Linked DNA regions of Lepisosteus oculatus. The protein of the gene in region 1 interacts with the protein of each later gene in a pairwise test. Links are inferred from orthologs where the notes say so. Each region holds a gene or a part of one and is shown in the gene's direction. Other genes may lie near its edges.

What was found.
Region 2: the proteins of ccndbp1 (region 1) and syf2 interact in binary tests that used the Homo sapiens proteins (3 or more experiments, as listed by UniProt). The link is inferred for Lepisosteus oculatus from reciprocal best matches to the Homo sapiens genes CCNDBP1 and SYF2.

What each region holds. Positions count from the first base shown.
Region 1 is NC_090711.1:1,706,225-1,716,414, forward strand, and holds the start of ccndbp1 (cyclin-D1-binding protein 1 homolog), read left to right. Parts: upstream 1-5,184; 5' UTR 5,185-5,268; coding exon 5,269-5,356; intron 5,357-6,764; coding exon 6,765-6,824; intron 6,825-6,988; coding exon 6,989-7,068; intron 7,069-7,401; coding exon 7,402-7,483; intron 7,484-7,566; coding exon 7,567-7,663; intron 7,664-7,772; coding exon 7,773-7,846; intron 7,847-8,485; coding exon 8,486-8,562; intron 8,563-8,758; coding exon 8,759-9,012; intron 9,013-9,253; coding exon 9,254-9,314; intron 9,315-9,567; coding exon 9,568-9,614; intron 9,615-10,190. UniProt on the Homo sapiens protein: May negatively regulate cell cycle progression. May act at least in part via inhibition of the cyclin-D1/CDK4 complex, thereby preventing phosphorylation of RB1 and blocking E2F-dependent transcription.
Region 2 is NC_090706.1:3,908,722-3,919,392, reverse strand, and holds the start of syf2 (pre-mRNA-splicing factor syf2), read left to right. Parts: upstream 1-6,198; 5' UTR 6,199-6,220; coding exon 6,221-6,277; intron 6,278-7,251; coding exon 7,252-7,350; intron 7,351-8,117; coding exon 8,118-8,243; intron 8,244-9,411; coding exon 9,412-9,529; intron 9,530-10,671. UniProt on the Homo sapiens protein: Involved in pre-mRNA splicing as component of the spliceosome.

The sequences.
Region 1 (10,190 bases):
GGGGGGGGGCGAACTTCAGATGGGATTAGCATAAACCCAGAACCTACAAACCACCTGCCCCCCCGATAAGAACACACCGAAATGAATAATTAAACATCGGGAAAACACGTCCCTAAGGTTAATTATTCAACCCGGCATCATGTTCTTGTTTTGTTCTTTTTCTCCGAGATACTGAGTCGAAAAAAATAAAAAAAGAGATCACATCTGGCAGTATTCCAGGTTATTGCTAGCAGTTGCTCCATGCGGTTCACGTTAAAGTTCAACTCTGCCCCAGATCGCCCGTGATGCAAGACAGCTTCCAGACCTGTTCGGCTCCATCTCGTCGATGAATGACGTATCTCTTGCGGCAGATACTAAAACCTGATTGGCTGTTGTCTTGACACCTTAGTGCGAATCGCAGGCTGTGATTGGTCAGGGGCCGCGGAGGCTCGTCCAAGATGTGACAGTGGCGGAAGCCGGGAGTCCTGGCTGGTAGAGCTGAGCTCGCAGCTGCACGGGAGTTTCTAGGGCCGGTTAATCTACTCCAGGTCCCTCTGAGCCTGAATTTCTGATCCATTTTCTTCCAGGCGAACTCTTCCCTCTTGAATTAAACCCGGATTCAACTAATAATTTAACCGCATAGCTAAACGTTAAGTTTAGGATTCGCTCCTCGAAGTCGTATTCTGTTCAGGAGCAAAAATAAATAAAATGATCAAATGAATAGTCAGTTTAATCAGAGTATTGCTTCAAATAAGGGCTAAATCAAACCGTTCAAAGTCCAGATGGAAAAACAGACACTGGAGTCGCCAAATCCAGGATAAGGAGTAAGAGATGCCTCCAGGAACCTTCAATGTCGTTTAAAAACGATCAAATAAAGCTGAAGTAGGGGTACCGCAGTCCCGAGTCACACTCCTGTCCTCCTCTCGCTGCGCTTTGAACGCGCATTTCTCATCAGCTGGGGGCGGAATTCACACCGGGCATCTCCGGCACAGACCCGGCTGCAGGAGCGTCCGGCACTGGGTAGCCGGGACAGACCCGTCCGAACCCAACTGCACAGCGACTCTGAGCGCCACCGCTGGCTTTAAATTATGTTCTTAAAAAATACACGATTCTCACTCTCCGGAAACGATTCTAGACACTTGATCTGCACGTCATGTGTTAAAATACTGAAGGAAATGTTTTAGAAATATTTATAAGTAAGATGGGTCCCGGTGTCTGACCCAGGGGATACTGAATCGTACAGGAGCCCGGCTCCCCTGCGACCCGGTATCGGAGAGAGTGGTCAGAAATGTACTGGATGAATGGGTGAATGGATGAACGGATTATGATCCCGGAGGCGCTGTGTTTCTGGGGCGTGTGGATGGGGAGCCGAACGCAGTAAGAGCTGGTGGCGGTTTTCACGGTGTTTTCTCGCACAAAGAAAAGGAGGAGGGGAGTTACAAAATCCTGAGAGAGGCTGGAATCGTTTTCTGAAAACCTGCCCGACAGACAATTCGGCACGATGTAACCAGCAGTCTTAAAACAAGACGCCCAGAAAGTCAGAGGAATATGACTGAAGAGCTGGTCTTCACGCGGGAGAAGGGCGGGATCTCGAAGACTTCGGCACAGCTGCGGATATAAGGTTTGGACCCACATAGAGACTGTGCAGAAGGTGGGAAAAAAGGTTTTTCAACTTAAGACAAGAGAGAAAAAAAACATTAAAGGGAAACACGAACGAAAGTGGCGGAAGTTTCCATAATGCTTTATTCAATAAATACGGTGCACAGCTATCTGTTTTCGCTTCTCCTTTGGTGTTTGTAGACTGCTGAGCCCGACGCAGAAGGGCTTGTCAAGATGGCCGCTGGTGTACTGCTCATTCTGATGGGACTCCCTGTACTACCGAGACAATCAGATTCATTGTTTGTAAGGGTACAGGGGTGAAGTTATGCAACACGTTATAAATCTGTGTGATTCTGGTGACTATACTGAGTAACCATCTATGTGGTATAAGACAGACAATCATTAAACCCCATTGTGGAAGACATTGAAGTAATAGTCCAGAGTGTTCAGTAGAGAACCAATTACTGGACATCTTGCTGTAGACAAGCTGTGGACACGTTGCCACCAAAATATAACTACAGGGCTTTCAGGAATTACACACTATAGATATAAAAGACCAATTACAGAAAGCCTTAGATAGTTTTCAGGACTGGGCAGACACCTGGCAAATTAAAATTGAATGCAGACATACATAACATCAAATATTCGCTATTCAGTATGGAAGAAGGCAGTTTATTTGGTCAATAAGGATTCCATGATAACTGTTTGTTAGTGTGGGGGTGTTACCCTGATGTCCCATTAAATTTCACTTTGGCCTCCCAGAAGGTCCTCCTTCACTCAGCTGGTGCAGCAGTTTCTCACATCTCACCCTGATCCACTGTGCAGTGGGGCCGCTGGTGCAGAATGATCACCGTGTGTCTCCCAGGCGGGGCCACTGGTGCAGAATGATCACTGTGTGTCTCCCAGGCGGGGCCACTGGTGCAGAATGGCCCCTGTGTGCCTCCCAGGTGGGGCTGCTGGTGCAGAATGGTCGCTGTGTGTCTCCCAGGTGGGGCTGCTGGTGCAGAATGGTGTCTGTGTGTCTCCCTGGTGGGGCTGCTGGTGCAGAATGGCCCCTGTGTATCTCCCAGGTGGGGCTGCTGGTGCAGAATGGCCCCTGTGTGTCTCCCAGGTGGGGCTGCTGGTGCAGAATGGCCGCTGTGCATGCCTGTGCTTACTGTTACAGGAGTGAGCGCACGACTGATCAACAAGTTGGCTCAGTCTGAATTAATAAAATAGCCACGTCGCTCAGCCACTTTTATTCTTTAACTTTTTAAGGATCAACACTAAAACTAGACAACATTGGATGTATAAGCCTAAGGATGCCAAAGAAAGGGTTAATGATACGTAGGCATCTTGAGCAAAGTCCTTGTGGACCCCAGTGGGTTCAGACGAGACGTTCTCTCACAAATACACAAATACACTTGTTGTCGTGCACCGCAGAGAGAGTGGTGGAACTGGAAGAGAGGAGGAAAACATGTTTTCCTGTTTCTTCCCAACCTCAAGGATGTTGACACATCCCCTTAATTAATAACAGCTGGCATGCTGCCAGCGCAGGCTCAGTGAGGCAAGGACAGCTCTGACGTTTGTGACTTATTGATGCACTTCTATCCTCTCTGTTTACAGATGCAAAAACCTATGAATTCACATCTACCGATCTCTCCATTGAAGTCAAAGGCTAAAGTCTGATGTTCCCTGCTCCAGTAATAAAAAAGCAAAGAACATTTATGTATTTTTACAAACCCAATCCAGCGGCTGTCCCAGTACAAGAAAGTATCGAATCTGAAGTGGATTACTTTCACAGTTATTACTGTGCATATAAATTAAATTATTTTGTGGTCCAACATAATAATCCAGGTTCGATATTTGACTGCTAAGTCTTTGACGAACACGAGGTCTACAACCAGAAATCCAGATGCTGTAATGTTCTTAGTGCTTGGAAATTGTAATGGAATGCATACTATGGATGATATACAAATGGATAAAATATTTTTATGAACAAGGAGTGTTCGGTTTTAATTTGGTTTTAGCATTTATAGATCACAATTAAATTGCATGGTTCTAAAGACCTAGAACAATTCACCCTTATCTTTTAAGAATTCGTAAAATAAATTAGAGATCTTTTGCAACGTGATATTTCCTGGTCATCAGAAATAATCCGTTTGATGACCTGCAAAACGTCCTGTATCCGGGCTCTCTGGGGGAGTATCAGCTGTGTTTCTTTGCCCTGCTCACTTCTACCTTCAGTAAAGCAGGAGGTGTGCGACTGCAGGCTGTGCCGTGTGGGAACACAGCCCAGCCCGGGCACCCAGTCCACAGGAGAGTCATTTTTAATATTAAAAATTAACCTCCCTTGTTAATTCCTAGCGTGCTGCCGCCAAGTGCCAAAACAGCCCTGTTGTGCTGGTGAGCCTGACGCGGTGGTGTTTGTGCAGCTGCTCCACACGTAGCAGCACGTGGCCAGCAGCTGGCTGGGGGGGCAGGGGGTGACAGGCCCTTTAGCTGAGGGGCAAAGTGTGCCCCATGCCAGGGACCAGGGTGTACCACAGAGTGAAAATGTGATAAGGCCTGGTGAAATCACAGCCTCCTGGGTTAATGTACTAAACCACAGCTAATCAGACACCAAGCAATATCCTGTTGCCTTCAGATAAACCACATATAATAAAATACTTCACTACACACAACAGACAGCATTTCAGGTCCCGTTTTAACTTGCTTTGTTTTTTTCAAGAACTTCAGATACAGAGGTTTAGGTATTGATGAACAGCACCGTGTTTTAAACAAACAAACAAACAAACAAACAAACAAAAAATCAGTAAGACTTTAATTTCTCTGTTATAAAGTTTTATCCTGTAGGTTGTATGGGTTATCCAGGTTGGAATAAATACATTTTGACTCACTCAGTGAAAGATTTCATACAATATATTCATTGTGCACCACGTACAGTACCTATTATATCTATTATATTATCTATTATATATCTATTATATCTTCTATCAAATAAACTTTATTTCACAATAAACATCTCACGATAAGTACACACTCATGCAAAGTCTTGCAATTTCTACAATATTACATCTGTTCTAAAAGAAGGCGCTTGTCCTTTATCAATCAATCAGTGCAAGTGGAGGATGGGGCTGGATTTGCACAGTGAAAGAGTCCCTCCAAGCCCTATCACTTGCTGTTGTCCCTGCTGTTTCCCTGTCCCGGCTCTGAAACTGCGGTGTTCAAGTGTTCGTATACCGTATTGATTGTGTTAAAATTAAAGTTAATTTTGAACAACTTCAATCTTTGGTTTGTTTACATTGCTTGTTATTTATCATATAAAATAAACGTCCCCAATGTTTTCAGTAACTTTGTAATGAAAAACGCGGATTTGCACTGTAACTTAAACACAACTTTTTAAATCAGATCCGAGAGCGCCACCTAGTGATTTTTTTCCTGTCTTGATACACTAATTTAGACTCGGCCACGGCCGCTGGACGGTTTTTCAAATTCAAAGAGCTTTATTGGCAACAACCGATAAGTTACACAGAGTCTCCTTCACCAAGATGGCGCGGAGACTTGCGTGGTGTCACCCTAATTGTCTTCCGGTAGGAAGTGACGTCCCGACTCCTTCAATAATCGAATCTAGGGGGTAAACAGTGGGCTGGGCTGCTTTAGTTCCTCGGGAGTGCAATGTGCTGTGAGCTGGCTTGAAGACGCGGAGATATGAACGCAGACAATTCGAGTCCGGACGTCTTGGTGCCTTTGAAAAATCTCCTTAACTCGGTGCAGTGCATCCGGGAGCGAGTGAGAGGTAGGGGAACCTTGTTTATTTGTTTGTCATACTGGGATATCGCCCAGAAGTAGTGTTGGCATGGAGATGTGTTGAGTACAGCAGGCCCGCTTGGTAATGGCACGTTTGAACCCGAAGAAAGGCGCAAGCCGATTCATTTGCGAGCGGTTCATGAACGAAGAACTGCATCTTTGCCACGATCGTTTAGAGGAAGGTCCTTTGGGTTAATGCCATCGTCTCTTTTCTCGGTTTTCACTCGCACATGACGGAGTGTGTCTCGTCGGCAGAGGGCGGTCTGTTCATCACTGCATTGCGAAGGGAGATCTGGGCACAGAAAAAGTTCATGTAACTCAGATAATTGAGGCTCGCCTCGCCACCCTCAAATCGAGCAGCGTGTTTATCTGTAGCAAAAGCCTTTTGAGGGGGAGACGCCCGATGTTTTGTACACGTTTTAGTGAAACGTAGCGAATAGCTGGATCGTTACAGCTTACGATATTTAAACGACTAAGACTTATAAAATAATTCTAATGCTTTAAATGGCATCCACAAAATTCATTACACGTGAATTTCCATTAGGTTAATTTTTCTCTTACTTTCTTTTATGCCTTTTTATTTTATCCCGATTTAGCGGACTTAAAAAAAGCGTGTCACCTTTTAATACAGTGTAAAGGAACAGCCGACGTGATAGTCATTTGTCTGTGAAATAAGAAGTGGTCAGTTTATAATAATAGAAAGAAAAAATGATCGAGTGTTATCGTATTTTCTCCGATTTGCAGGCTGTACACATGATCGATCCAGGGCAAATTTGTAGAGCGAGATTAGGTTTACTCAAGTAGTATCCTTGGGGGTCCTGGAAACTTCTCGAGAGCTAAAAGTGAGGCACCCCAGTTTCCAAAAAGAGCCCTTCCTACAAATTGTCACACAAACTGTTTTCAAGCATGAAGTGGGGTAATGATGACAGGGTTTCCCCCTGACCACACTGTGCACCCTGTCAGTTGTGGCCCCTTGACCTGAAACCAGCCTGAAACTGTCAGTGTGAGTTGGGGGTGTAACCTGTTGGGCAGCTGGCCGAGACGGTCCCCAGCTGCTCTAAAGACGAACTGGTTTGTGCTGAATTTCCTGCTGGCATGACGGCCATCATGTGGCACAGCACTCGGAGGATTCCAGATCCATGCAGAGAGAGGGGAACGTGTCACGTGGGATGATGATGATGATGCCCGTGGGAAGAGTGCCTTCGGATCGTTTCACTAACGAGCCAGTTAGGGGAGAGCTGAGAAAGCAGGATTATTTAACACTCAGGTGGTTTCATGTAGCCTGGACCTCAAGGCTTGTCAGTTTGCACGCAGTGGGACTTTCTGCTGTGCTTAGTGGGGTTAATTAGTCAGTGCAGCCATTCGGCTAATTGACCCATCTCTCTGTCTGTTTCTAGATGGCGAGTCTAAGGAGTCGAATGAAGAGTTTAACCTTCAGCATTTCTGGGACACTTTAGGCTGAGTATTTTTTATGTTTTTCCTTTCCCTGTCCTGATTCCACAGGAAGGCTGTAGCAGAATGGGGGGCCCATTTTAGATTTTTTAACGCCAGATTTTTATCCCTGGGGCCGGTCGGTGTCTGTGACGCGGAGAGGGTTTGAGTTTTCGGTCTGCGTTCGCAGGTCGGGCTTTCAAGGCGGTGTCTCAGGAAGCCACGAAGCTGAGCCTTGCCTTCTCCAAGCCCCCCCTGCCCGGCGCCCAGGTAGGCCGCAGCCTGTTTCTCTCCGTTTCCAGCTCGGCCCGCGGGTGGCCTGCAGCTTGCAGCTCCTTTATCTCCGTGGCATCTGAAGGGTGTCTAGTGCAATTTCTGCGCATGAAGAGCGTAAAACAATCCGTAATCTGTCTAAAATATCGTGGATCTAGATTTTTACTCTCCTCAAGTTGGAGAAAAGCCGGCTGTTAATTGAACACAAACATGCAGGTTTGATTCCAGTTACTAGGTGTCATGTTGGTGTTTGTGATGCATGTGAAGAACACTACATATACTTTCCTTCCTGCTTATTCTCATCCTTTGCTTTCCTGTCTGTCTTCCAAGGATTGCCAGATGCTGGCAGACTGCGTTCAGAAGAGCGCCCTGTCTCTGGCCACGGTCTACTACTGGCTGCCCAAGAGCCAAGGTACAGCCCTGTCGCCCTCAGTGCGGGCTGCGTGTGCGTCGCGCCCGCGCGGCTCTCGGTGTGACCCGGCGCTCTCTCCCCAGGGGTCACTCTGCGCCGGACCGTCCGCAATGCCGCCGCGGAGGCGCTGGAGGGCGTGGCACAGCTGGTCGAGATCATCCTGAGCTCCCCCCTGCAGAGGTCACCCCTCGCGCCGACGTTTCGGAATTCAGTTGTTTTTTTTTTAAACGGAAGTGGTGACGCGGACCTGACTCCCTGTCCCTCCCTGTTCCCCCCCGCCTCTCCACAGCCTGTCCCAGGAGCAGCTGACCTCCACGGGCGGGGTGTGGTCATCGTGTGACCAGGTCGCACACCTGCCCAGAGGTGAGTCGCCCCACTTTGTCCCTCCTCCGCACTCCGCAGCTGGGCCAGCTCAGCAGTTAGCAGTTAATTAATGCGGGGGGCTCATCCAGCCAGGCAGGGTAACAGCGTGTCTGGGGAGCTCTTTCACAACCCCTCTACCCCCTGTTCTCACTTGAAACGTCCAGCTAGTTTCCAGTGACCTCTGGCTCGCGTTAACGCTGCTGATGCTAAAGACGTTCATTGGCTTGACTGGGGACGCATGGATCAGGAACCCTGTCAGTCTTCTCTGTCCAAGCCTTAAAAAGAGAAGCGGGTCAGGAGATGGTCAGGAGCCAGAAATGGGGACCAGTGTGTCAGGGAGTGCGTGCAGACGTTCAGTTCATTATTTGAAAAATATTTCTTTTACCGATGGACTTCGACTAAAGACTTTGATTTCAGCACCTGAACGGTTTGCTGTGTTGCAGGTATGCGAAGCGTCAGTGCTGCCTGTGAATCAGTTTGGGCCTGTGCTGCGGTGCTACAGTCTGCTGCATTCACATCCACACTGGGTGGGGGGGGGGAGGGGTGACTGTGTAAGAGGTGTTTTTTCTTTTTCTGCAGATGTTCCCAGCGTTTTGGGCACACCAGTGAGTTTTGTTCCATTTTCAATTTTCCGTGCAGACAACCAGGCAGCTGTCCTGTTGGTGATGTCCTCCTCCGCTGGTGTGGTCAAGGATGCCATAGAGGAAATGGAACAGGTGCTTGTCGAGATGGAGGGTTTGCACCGTTAGGTGACAGTGGCGCTGAGAGATTCTAACCCACATATTTTCCTGACACTCATGCTGTCACTGGGAAAGGGAGACGGCTAAACTAGTATTGTCAGTAGCTGTCTGGTATCCCCCTTGTCTTTCTCTCCATTAACCTGAGAGATCTTCTCCCTTCTCCCTGCTCCAGGCCCAGGCGGACAATCTGGATCCATTCAGTGATGTTCTGGACGACGAAGAGCTGGACTCCCGGGGAAACCAGGACACATACTGGTCCGAAGAGGACAGGCAGCTGCTGGCCCCCTGCCAGGGCCTGATGAAGGCCTCCAAGGCGTGCCTGAAGAAGCTGTCTGCGGCAGTGAAGGCTCATGGGAAGGTGGACACGCCCGAGAACATCGCTCAGCTGGACGACCTTGCTGACGTGACCAAAGAGATCAGCCCCAGGTGAGCGAATTGAGCTCCCTGTCTGCTTTTGGCTTAATCGGTACGTTGATGCACTTCAGCTTTTTTTAGATTCCCGGATGTTTTATTCCATCTGTCTGAGTCGCGGCAAGTTAGAGTTCGCGACGTCATTTCCAGCTCCTGGGAAGTTGGGGGGTGTGTCGTCCCGCGAGGGCAGGGAAAGCTCGGGCTGTGGCGTGGCTGGAAGGGTAGAGGACAGTGATCCCGGGTCTCTGTCTTGCAGTGTGGACGACCTGGCCCTCAGCCTGTATCCCCCCATGAGCTACAGCGGCGTGCGTCAGAACGTAAGGCTCCTCTCCTGCCGTCTCTCCATGACTGCGAGTCCACTGCTCGCGTGCTGCCTTAGCTGTAATACTGGTAACTGGTTCCCTTCCCGTTTGATGCAGAAAGAAAGTTTTCCAAAAATAAATCTGTGCGGAATCTTTTGCCATCTTTGATATTTTAATGTCCCCTTGTCGGAAAATCGCTTGGCTGTGTGTCCTTGTTTGGTCACACAGAGGAATTGGTAGATTTATGTGCTGTGTTTTGTCATTCCAGGCAACGAGCCTGGCCTCAGTCTTAAAGAAAGTCCTGGATATTGTGAGGTAGGTGTCTGGATATCAGCCTTCACCTGTCTCTCCTCTGCAGGTGATTAGTCTCTGTATACCTGTCCGTAGGTGGAGATGACTGGGATCACTGGGCTCCCTAATCATGCATTTGGCACTTTAGGAATTTGCAGTTGGATTGAGAACTTGTCTTATTCAGATGGTGAATAAGGTAATACCTTGGTATTGGTACACGTTGATATACCTTGAACAAGGTAGTACCTTGCATCTAGAATGACAACACGTGTCCTAGAAGAAAAGAGCAAGTAAAATCCAAGTATTGTGTTATAGGTGTGATCAAGGAGGAAACGTGTCAAAAAGTGGTGTGTCGGGGAGTCATGCTTTTTTAAAATAAAGGAGCACTGTAAAAAAAAAATGCTGATGGCAAGACAAGAGTTTTGTCCGATCTCCAGTGCGAAAAATACCATGTCTTTACAGAACAGTGGTGATAAGAAAGTGTTGTTGTCTCAAAATCTAAATTTTATTTGCAGCACATGTTTTGAGACTGTTTCCTTTATGGTTCGAGACCATTTCAAAGATGATGTAGACTGTTAGTTTCAATTTGTATCCCTGACG
Region 2 (10,671 bases), on another chromosome or scaffold:
ACAAGAAGAGCGCTTGATGTGTCACTCACAGGAATTAAGAATCCCAGCAGCTATAAAGCTTTGTTAGGCTCTGTTCCGAGACTCTGGCTGGTATGCACAGATGGAACAATTAGAAGCTCCTTATGTATTCACTTAATTATCGTGTTTAATCTAGAGAGATTGGATTGATGTGTTCAAAAGGGGGTAACGTCGTTTTCTAAATGTCAGCTTAGTCTTTGGTACAGAAGCTTGTCAGTTATTATTGTGTGTGTGGTTTTTAAGGTTTTTCCAAAGCTCAGTATAAAGCTTTTAAGTTAAAAAAAATTGTCAGCAATGATCTAGCATAAGATCAATATACTATATTTCAGTAAGTAATTAATAATAAGTAGCACATTTAGATGTGGCATTTAGATGTTTCCAACAATACAAAATCATTGTCAAAATGTTTTACTTTATTTAAACATTTAAACATTAACCAAAACAGGAATGCATAGTATACTTTTGTCCTTCAGTCTTTGAAGTATCAAGTCTAAAATACATGTATGTGTGTCTACATTATTCTACAGAAATGAATAAAACCGAATAGGTGTTTTTCATTATGTGTTTTGATTACTACAATGGAAAAATTATTATTTAGCTCCCTCTGGTGTCTATTCAGGTATGGAAATGAAATTCTGACTTCTGCGTAACTCAGCACATACAAGATGGCCAACCACCCACACAGCAAAAAAATAAAACTTTGCATTAAAATCATTATGTTTTAGTACTGTAATTCACCTCTGGGCAAGTTGACTCACATCATTTATGCAGTTAATCAGTTTCTTATTAACCTTAAGCCCTACATTCACTTTAATCATAAATTTAATCTGTAATTTTAAAACACTGTGTAATCTCTTGTTTTAATTTGAAAAACTAATAATAATAAAATAACAGATTAGTTGGATTCCCTTTGGAAAATAATACAAGAAACAGCTGTTTGTAAATGCATATTGGCATCCAAAGAAATCGTTGGGGTGTCCTTTGAAACCCATAATGGCTCTTAATTGTGAGTTAAATTATCCGTGTTGCAGTCTGTGCCATAGATTCATGGCTTGTGGCATTAGAGTGCATAGATCTGTTTTCATATATGTGCGTCTCCTGTTATATGATTGTTCAATAAAAGATAATACCAAGGGATATCCCAACTTACTTGCAAATCATAACTACACTCGTTTTTAGTTATCTTACTTGTTTAAAGATGCTTGTTTTCCACACATTGGCAGCCCTTACCTTGCATTTCATATATTTTGAAATATGAATAGTTTTTGTGTGTGCTGGCGCCAGCTGATATGTTTATAAAGTCACATGTTAGAAGGGCTGGCCATCTGATCCCAGTCAGTGAATCAGGATAGTGGAGCAAACTTGAGCAGCTTGTGTTTTCTGACTTCTACAACAGAATGATGACAGTCCTAACAGCCTGCTGTATCTCATGAAGTCACAGTCAGGCGGAGTCCAGATTATAACACTGCAAAGATGGAGTTTGGGTGAGCAGTAGCCCCCACACACATACACCTTGTATAATTGAGAACGTACAGTACTGTACTTAACATAGCTTGGTGTGGACAGCAAAACAAATAAACAAACAGCCAATCGAACATAAGATGTGAAGCAAGAGACTTGTGCAGCCAAGATCCAGAAAAGAGAAATCCCTGCAGCTCGTGGGCGAAGACCAGACAGACAATTATCACCCAAATCTATATTAAACCAGCAGTGAGCAACGGAAGTGCTCGCAAGGCTGGATTCACACCCCAGAAGCGGCACGTTTTCAGGGTGTGCCACTTTCATGTGGAGATCTCGGGCTTTGACTCGGAAAGACTGGGTTTTCTCCTGTAAGTGTGGAATTTGTTCCACACAATGGCAGTAAGCGGATGGCTGACTGTAGCCTCTGCCCGGGCTCTCCGCAAAGGATTGGCGATGTGTGTTTGTTTTGGACGGGAATGAATAACTTTTCATTTAGGGCGGAAATGACAGGAATAGTAATTAAGGAAATGGCATGATTTTATAGGCCATGATGTTTATATTAACGGCCAGATGTGATACAGCTGGAAGCTAGCTCGCCTTGCCCGGTGTGTCATTGGTTGAGTTCTGCTAACTGACGTGCTGGTTTTGCAAACGGGACTTCATGAGAGAGAGATAAAAGTGGGATGTTGCAGGAGGCAAACAGGCTCTGACTGATTAAATTTTAAATGTAAACATAAGTACCAGCGGCTTCTAAGGCATGTGACGATTTTGAAGACCTGCATTATTGCGTGTGAGCAAACTATATGTAGTATGTACTATCTCGAGCAGGCTTTAATATCTGAAGGCCAATATTGGAGCTGATCTGGTTCACCAATTAATAAGATTGACGTCAACCTCTTGCATCATCTCAATTTATTATACTGGTGCTAAGATCAAAACTTGAAAGTCTCAGGTTAGTCCGGGCCCACTGTGTCCAATTTGTCTGACTAATTTAATTGACTAAAACAAGCTGTTTTGCCAGAGGGTCTTCTAGTCAGAATTTTTATGAATTTGAGGCTCTGCTGGTGGTGCAAATGGGCAGCTAGCCAAAAAGTGTCTGCAAACCTGCAAAGCGATATCTAGAACCTGGAGTTCTGTCTTTCAGCTAGAACTGAAATAGCAAAATGATCAACTGAAAAGGATCCCTTATACACAGCAATATTTAGACTTTGTTATACAGTAGCTAACTGGCAAATAAAAAACAATCCCTTGTCATTTTTTTTGTCTGCTCGGTATTTTTAGTTTTCATGTATTTTGGCCATGCTAATATTAAGACTTTACTTTGCTATGATTTCCTATGATTTACATCCTTCTTTGCTACACTCCTCTCTGCTTCACACTGCCTCCACTATACTTTCTCTGTGTTCTGGGCCCAGCTCTACAAACCAGTATAGACTGAAGATGAGCAGGATTCCAGGTATAAACAGCTGGCTAAGAAAACAGGAGAAATGTTGAAAAAAATCATTCGACATTGAAACTGATGGCATAAGATTTTGCAAACCTTTTCCATCCCTGTTTATTTTAGGGTTTCACCAGAAGTCCGCCACATCCATCGTCCTATGGTAGCTACACTACAGTTTCCTCCGACTCTCCCACTCCGGCCTCCCCCAGTTCAATTCTCCTTTTTACTCCTTTGCAGTGTCTCACCCAGGGAAGACAGGAAGAGCTGTGCATGTTATAGATTACTTTTACGATGGCTACATAACTTGCTCAAAGAAGAAAAAAGATTGATGACTCCTTGGTTTCAGCAAAGCAGCTTTCCCTTTCAGAGTATTAAATACACATGGAACGGAATGAGCCATCTTCATCAATCTACTGGGGATCCAGCTGCTATCATCTGGGAGAGATGAGACCCCATCACTTTCTTATGATTAAGACAAATGCTGCTGAAGCTTGAATTCCCTGTTGAAAAAGATTCAGACTCTCATTCACTTTGATGAAGTTTTCTGTGTTGTTTTTTTTTATCTTTGTTCCACTTTTGTAATATCGAGAATCACTGTTTTTTGTCCATTTTTTGTTTTCTTTCATGTTTCTCCATCTGTTACTTGGTGGAAATCAGTACCTCATTAACAACGCCTGTGATCCTGGTATTCTTTAATCTCCAGGCTGTAAGCTCCACAAGACAGCACTCTTAATTATTTCCAAAAAGATGGCTATGAATTATAAATAGGCAGCACAATCAAATGAAAAAAAAACATTTGATTAGTAATCTAAACTCAAAAGATGAACCTAAAAGTACAGAATGGCTATTTGTGTGACAGAGAAATTCTATCTTGTAAAGAGAATTGTAGAACATGCAACAGCTAAGTTCATAGCTGAGGTACACACCTCAGCTGAAATAAATACTACTGATAAGACAGATTAATAGCTGTATTGACATGGCATATAAAAACGATTTTAAAACTAGCTAGTTTAAAGCTGTTTTTTTAGCTGTACGTTTTTTTAATATGTAGTGTGAATGAAACAGCTTTGACTTTGAGTTAACTTCACCTTGGTTTCTCAAGTTTTTAATTTCTTGAACCAAAGAGAATATCTAGACTGTAAATTAATGGGACAGGTTGGGATCAGGATAGACTTTGTGTTAATTAACAGCTAATAGAAGTGCTATTGCCATTGGTTTTCTTTGAACTTTCAGAATATGATGAAAATGTTACCTTTTTATGTATGCGTGTTATTATAAAATGTTATATAAATGTCATTATAATTTTAATTATTTACTATAAAAATCATTCTTTGCTCTTGATTATATGATCACTGCCTGACTATTAAGTGCTATATTCAGGTTGTGCAGCACAGTATGAGATTCTCCAAAAAGCTTCAGCTGCATGCCTCTGTAAAACATTAACACTGTCATTAATTATCAGTAAGACACCAGTTTGTTTTAAACCAGGAAGAGGAAATAGCTGGTAAATGTGCTCCTGGAACAGGAGATTCGTGGTTTCAGCGTGAATTCTGTGCTTTTTTGCTTTAAACTTTTTAGGTGGTTGGGTGGGAGAGATAATTGTGCCGAACACCTAACTTTCCTTCCAAAACATGTTTTCAGTAGAAAAAAAATATATACATCAAACACCAGACCTCATTGAGCTATCCTAATTTAGGGTAGTTTGCATATGGTTTAGCCTTTTTTTCTGATAAATTCTAAAATTTAAAACTTCTGCAGTATAGAAAAACACGTTTTTTTTGTCATGTCACACATCATAACCCAAGTGGAAATGAGCAACTGGTTTCTAAGGTCTGAGCTGATATTTATAGGTTTAAACTGGTTTAAACTGTTTTCGTGTTTTCCTTGCCTTTTATGTAATTTCCCAGAAAATAGCTCTGACTCCCTCTAAATGAAGTTGATGCCCACTGAGAGTTTAGAATGAATCCCAGGCAACCAATCTGCTTGAAATATTCCCCATGGGTACTCTCTAAAATATTCTACAACATCATTTAGTCACTAATACCTGATGGATCTATCAGATCTTGAGGGAGACAAGAAAGGGATTCACTAGCTGACTTAAAAGCTATTGATAGCTTTTTGGTACCTCCATCAGAAAATCAGAATTACACTTGCAGTGACTAATCACTTCCAAATTGATGCTGACCTGCACTTCCGTTATATTTTAAAAATTATTAATTTTTAATTACATCTAAATCAGTCAAGGCAGTTGGAAAACAGCATTGGATAAACTAATTTCATTTTACAAGCACAGCAGCAATTTAAGGACACTTATAAATTAATATTTTCTTCCCTTGTAGAAATTTCACTGGAAAAGAATTCTCTGGCATTCACTGGTGACCCATTTCATGGGGTCAAGATCAGTATGTTCTAGTTTAGAGCATTTCAGAAATAAGCATCTTGGTTTATTACAGCATTATCTTTTTAAAAACATAGTTTAAATTAATTAGATTGATAAGCAATAGAAATTAACCGGTGAGCAGTTTAGACCTGAGCATAACTACAAACAGCAGTTCAGACTTAAGAAACCAGTTACTCATTTCCACTTGTGTTATGACGTTTGATGTGCCAAAAAATTGTTTTTCTATAATGCAAATGTTTCAACTTAGCATTGACGAAACAGCTGGTTCGCTGTTCTGGTTACCATCGTCAGAGATGAATGAATAACCTGCGATACCTATCTAACATATCATATAACCCCCCGTGGCAAAATACGAAGTCCAAAAAGCATATTTGCTTAATATGACAGGCATCTCAAATTTAGGGAATTTGCAATTTTGTGGGAAAAAAAACGTCCTATGTTCCAAGGATACCTGTATTATCATATTTTGCTTTTAGTTTCTGATTAAAAAAATAAGTTTGATCATATCAAGAACTGCTCATTCTTTCCCGTAAACAAATATTTTGTATAATGTACTGACTGTGCACTGCTTAGTATTTCCAAATTGTGTGTTAAATGCTTCTACTATATTTAAAGCAGATGGAATGAATACGTACGTAACGTTGGGGGTAAATTATTTCGCTGCTTTAATTTACGTATATATTACTTTTTAAAATGAATTTAACCCCCACCCATAGTTAGCCCAAAATAACATATACGGTAACAAAACTTTTAGGTAACTGTAGACATTTTGCCAATACACAGATATACAATCATCAGAAATGAAATATTTTATTTGCGTTGTCGTGCATGACTACGACACAAAAACCGACAAAAACAAACGACAACAGACATGACAGCTCCCTCTGGCCCTCGGGTAGATGACCTCACTTCCTTTTGCATCAGACACTTCCGTCAAGATGGCGTCGGGCATGGAGGTTAGTAAACAGAAAAATACCTTATTGAAATGTTCGATTCTGTCGCTGAACTGCCAGTTTTCTGTTTGAACTTTCGTTTTTTAAAACGCACAAGCTACTGTGACAATCTTGAAACTTTCTTATCTGGCTTTGGAAATGGTGATTCTTAAGCGGTAGTCCAACGCTGTTTAACCTATACAGTATATATTACGGGAAATACACGCCTGGTTTCTTTTTGTAACTATTTGAAACTTTAAAAACCTTTTAGGAATGATGTTTTTAATATCCTTTTTTCCACGAGTTCCTTTACAGAGGAGCCAGTGTGTAGACTTAAGTACTTCTAATGCACTGCTTGTGATTGTATGATTGAACTATTTTCGGATTGTTGTATGTTTTATTTGGTTTTGTAACGACAAAGTCATGTATTTCTTTAAAACCGCAACAGGCTCCCAGGGTGGGCTAGTAATTGGAAATGGTTGTACCGCAGCTTTCTATAGGTACATAATTATAAAAGACAATTTAGGTTTTTGGTTCAGACACGTGAACAACTAGTTAAGATCACTTTATCGGCCATATACAATTTCTAGTATTTGTCTTTTCACACACCCCCAGCTTGCTCTCCATGAGACACAGGCAGGGAGAGAAGATTGGGGTCAGAGCGCAGGGTCAGCCATTTATATGGCACCCCTGAAGCGGTTGGGGTTAAGGGCAAAATGAGTTTTAAAAAAGAGTAAAATTCCTCTGCCGGCCGCGGGATACGAACCAGCAACCTTCCAGCCACAGTGATTTAACTAATTAAGGTTTAAATGGGCCACTTGATCGTTTCACTAGACCCTTCAGCTGTTGCCAATTTAAGGAGACATGGGGCACATTCTGAGATCCCAGCTCTGAGGTGCTGGAGTTGGGAGCCTCTGAAATAGATTGTCTGTTCTCGGTTCTTTCACGTGTCTTGTGAAAATGGTCTCATTTTTAGTCAGCTTAATATTTTGTTCCAGGTTGCTGTTGCAGACACAAATGAGGAATCCTCAGAAAGCACAGCAGCTCAGAAGAGAGAAGACAGGCTGCGAAAGTTCAGAGAGCTTCACTTCAAGAGGGTTAGAAATCGTTTCATATTCGTTCCCCCTGTGTTTGACTCATGAGTTATACAGAAGCTTTGTTTCATTTGTAATACGCGTTGAAACTGCCAAGCCCAGAATGGCTTGAACGAGGAAAATGCACAAAGCTCTGAGAACAATAGAAGTGATCCTCTTTTGTTATTCGTCTGTACAAAAAAATCATAAAATTACATGGGGACATAAGAAAGAGAGGATGCCAATCTAACAAATATGGTTGCTGAAGGTTAATTGCTTCAGGAATCTTATTCAGCTGTTTCTGCTGCCAGGACCTGGTTATTCTTCTCTGCACTGACTCAAGAGCAACAATGTTGTTTTTTATAATGCGGGGACCAAAATTGTACAGCACCTTGATTTAAATAACTATGGTAGCTATACCAGAGGCATCATCCCGTCATTAAAAAGTAATATCGATTCTCCGCCACTAGGCCAGACATGGGCAGACATGGCCCAATTCCAACCCTTTGTCATGTAGGTAAACCATTCATTGAGTTGTTACAAATCAAAATCATTGTGGTCATTGCGAACTGGCCTTTCATTACCCCTCATCTAGTGCAAATAAAATACTGAATGAAGCAAGTGATTATTGTATTAGAATCTACTCTGATTTTACAGTGTGTTACTTATAAAACAATGAACTGTTACGAACTTGAGCTTTTACTCTTTCATGAAATGGCCATTATGCTGGGTTATATAATGTTAATATTTGCAGTGAAAACTCATGCATTATCATGATAATGTTGAAACAGAATGAAGCTCGCAAGCTCAACCATCAGGAGGTTGTAGAAGAAGACAAGAGGCTTAAACTTCCTCCAAACTGGGAGGCTAAGAAAGCCAGACTGGAGTGGGAACTGAATGAGAATGAAAAGAAAAAGGTAACTAAAACTCTTCTTAGTTGGTTGTGTGACCCTTAGCATCCAGGTGTCACTAAATGTATTATAAGAGCTTATATTGGAATGGATCTAATAGGTAACTGAACCAAAGGACTCTCAGAAGGGCTGCAGAATCGTCACTGTTTAGAGCATGGGCTCCATTCTTCTTGAAGACTGAGAATTTAGGTCATATATGTCTATAGGTCATATATGTCTATATTTCTATAGACATTTCTATATGTCTATAGAAATATTCACATCTGAGATGCATGTGAAACTGTGCATGCATGTGTATGCACATACAAGTCTGGGATCTCCTTTTGCTTATGTCTTTCCTTATTTTTTGCTTGGGTGAAAGAAAAGGGCAAAATCTTTGGCTCTGGATAAAACTCCTAGAAGCACATTGTGCTCACAAAGACAGGGATACTACAGAACATGTTCAGGTCAAGACTACGTTTGCAAAGTTGTGCTGCTAATTCCGGACCACAGTGCTTCTAACTTATCGTTACATTTCTAACTGAAATCATGGGGGGGGGCGAAATCTCCAGCCGTTCAAGAAGGCTGTGTAATCCTTAGCCTCCCAGAGCCTATCCCAGAACTTTGCCCTGAATGGGATGGCACAGGATAGAAACAGGTTATCCTAGCCGGCATTCCTTGCAAGGTGGGAGGAAGTTTGAGCATTCGGGTGGGGGGGGGGGGAACAATGTGCACTTCAAACAAAGTACTTCACTAGGGAATCAGACCCAGGACCCATGAGCTGTGAAGAACTAACTCCCTCAACACCTTGCCACTGTGGAAGAAATATGCAAACGTTATTAGGAGACATGGTGGGGTGGTGATTAACATGCCTGCCCCTCAGCTCGGGGGCCCTGGCTTCACTTCCATGCGTGCTGTCTGTCCTCCCCATGCTCATGTGGGTCCACCCGCAGTCCACAGACATGCTCATAGGTTAATTGGCTTCTGTGAAATTGGCCCTCGTGTGAGTGGACTGACATCCTGTGCTGCCTTGCCTTCAGTGATTCCCAGGATAGGCTTCAAGCCACCGTGACCCCGAATGGAATAGGAGCTCGTTGGACTTGATGATGACGACAAGCATTGTTAACGTGGAGGACGAGGCGTTCGGGTTATCCCAGCGCCGATTTTTGAAATTGGAAAAAAATGTCATTTTCAGGAATGTGCAGCAAGAGGAGAGGACTTTGAGAGAGCTAAGCTGTTGGAGATCAGTGCCGACGATGCAGAAAGATGGGAAAGAAAAAAGAAGAAGAAGAATCCAGATCCAGGCTTCTCGGGTGTGTGATTTAGTGCTGTTATTGTCCTACCAGACACATGCCCGCCCTTCTGCAGCACTCGCCTGCTTTCGAAATTCTGTCCTTAGGTGGAGCCTACCTTTCATACCTAACTTTCATAAGACTGCGTAGGTTTCCAACATAAAGAGCCCATTCACCGCATCTTGCTCATGTCATAGTCATTAGCTCATTGATCCCAACATTTCATGGCATTTTTTTTTCTGGTTGGATTTGTAACATAAAAAATGAAGTTAACAGTTTGAGTTGTCAGAGCTATTTGGCAATTCAACAAAAATTAAAAACAAACTGCACTCTTGTCTTTTTATATTTTCAGAACCTTACCTTTCAAGAAGATAGTACAAAAATTTGCCTATGTCTGAATAAATGTGTACTGCTTCTAAATCAATTCTTACATCTTCTGTTCTCAAAAGCGTTGTGGTACTTATATCTTATCTTGAGTCCACAAAGAAATAACAATCTGAATAATTCCATTTATATGTGACACACCTCCTGGTGGCCACCACAGATAATTTAAGAAAGCTACCAATTCTGTAGTTGGAAAAAATTAAATCTGTAGTGCAACCTAAAACAGAATATAACAGTTATATTTATGGTCTTCTTGAAGGGCATTGCATAGTTTTCCTAATATTAGCTCCCAAGGTTGAAGGTGATAACACTCCCATCTCAAAAAAAAAAAGTAAGAAGTTGTCAGCATGGTTCATAAATTTGAGCTTAAGAAGCACAGTCATTTCTGTACAGGTATAATCTTTTTGGAGTAAGGTGTGATCTGTGTAAGTCGGTGTCATATCTTAATATGAGAGCTCGGTGTGACTTTACACAACTGCCATTTGCTCAGTAAGCTTTTCAGCTACATTAACTGGGTTGTGTATTATGTTCACAGTTCTAAACCCTCTTAAAACATGACATTCCAGCCTACAGCTTTGCAGTACAATTAAAATACAGAAACAAAGCTGGAGGCTTGTCATGCTACAGTGTTGTTACTGCATGAATGAGGAATGCAAAACATTAAACTAAGGAGTCACGATTGAATTTATAATTCAGATTTAGACACAAAGGCAGGGATGCATCACAGTTTCCTGTTACATCTTGATCCATGTAAAGCTGTTCTGATAAATCATTTTTAA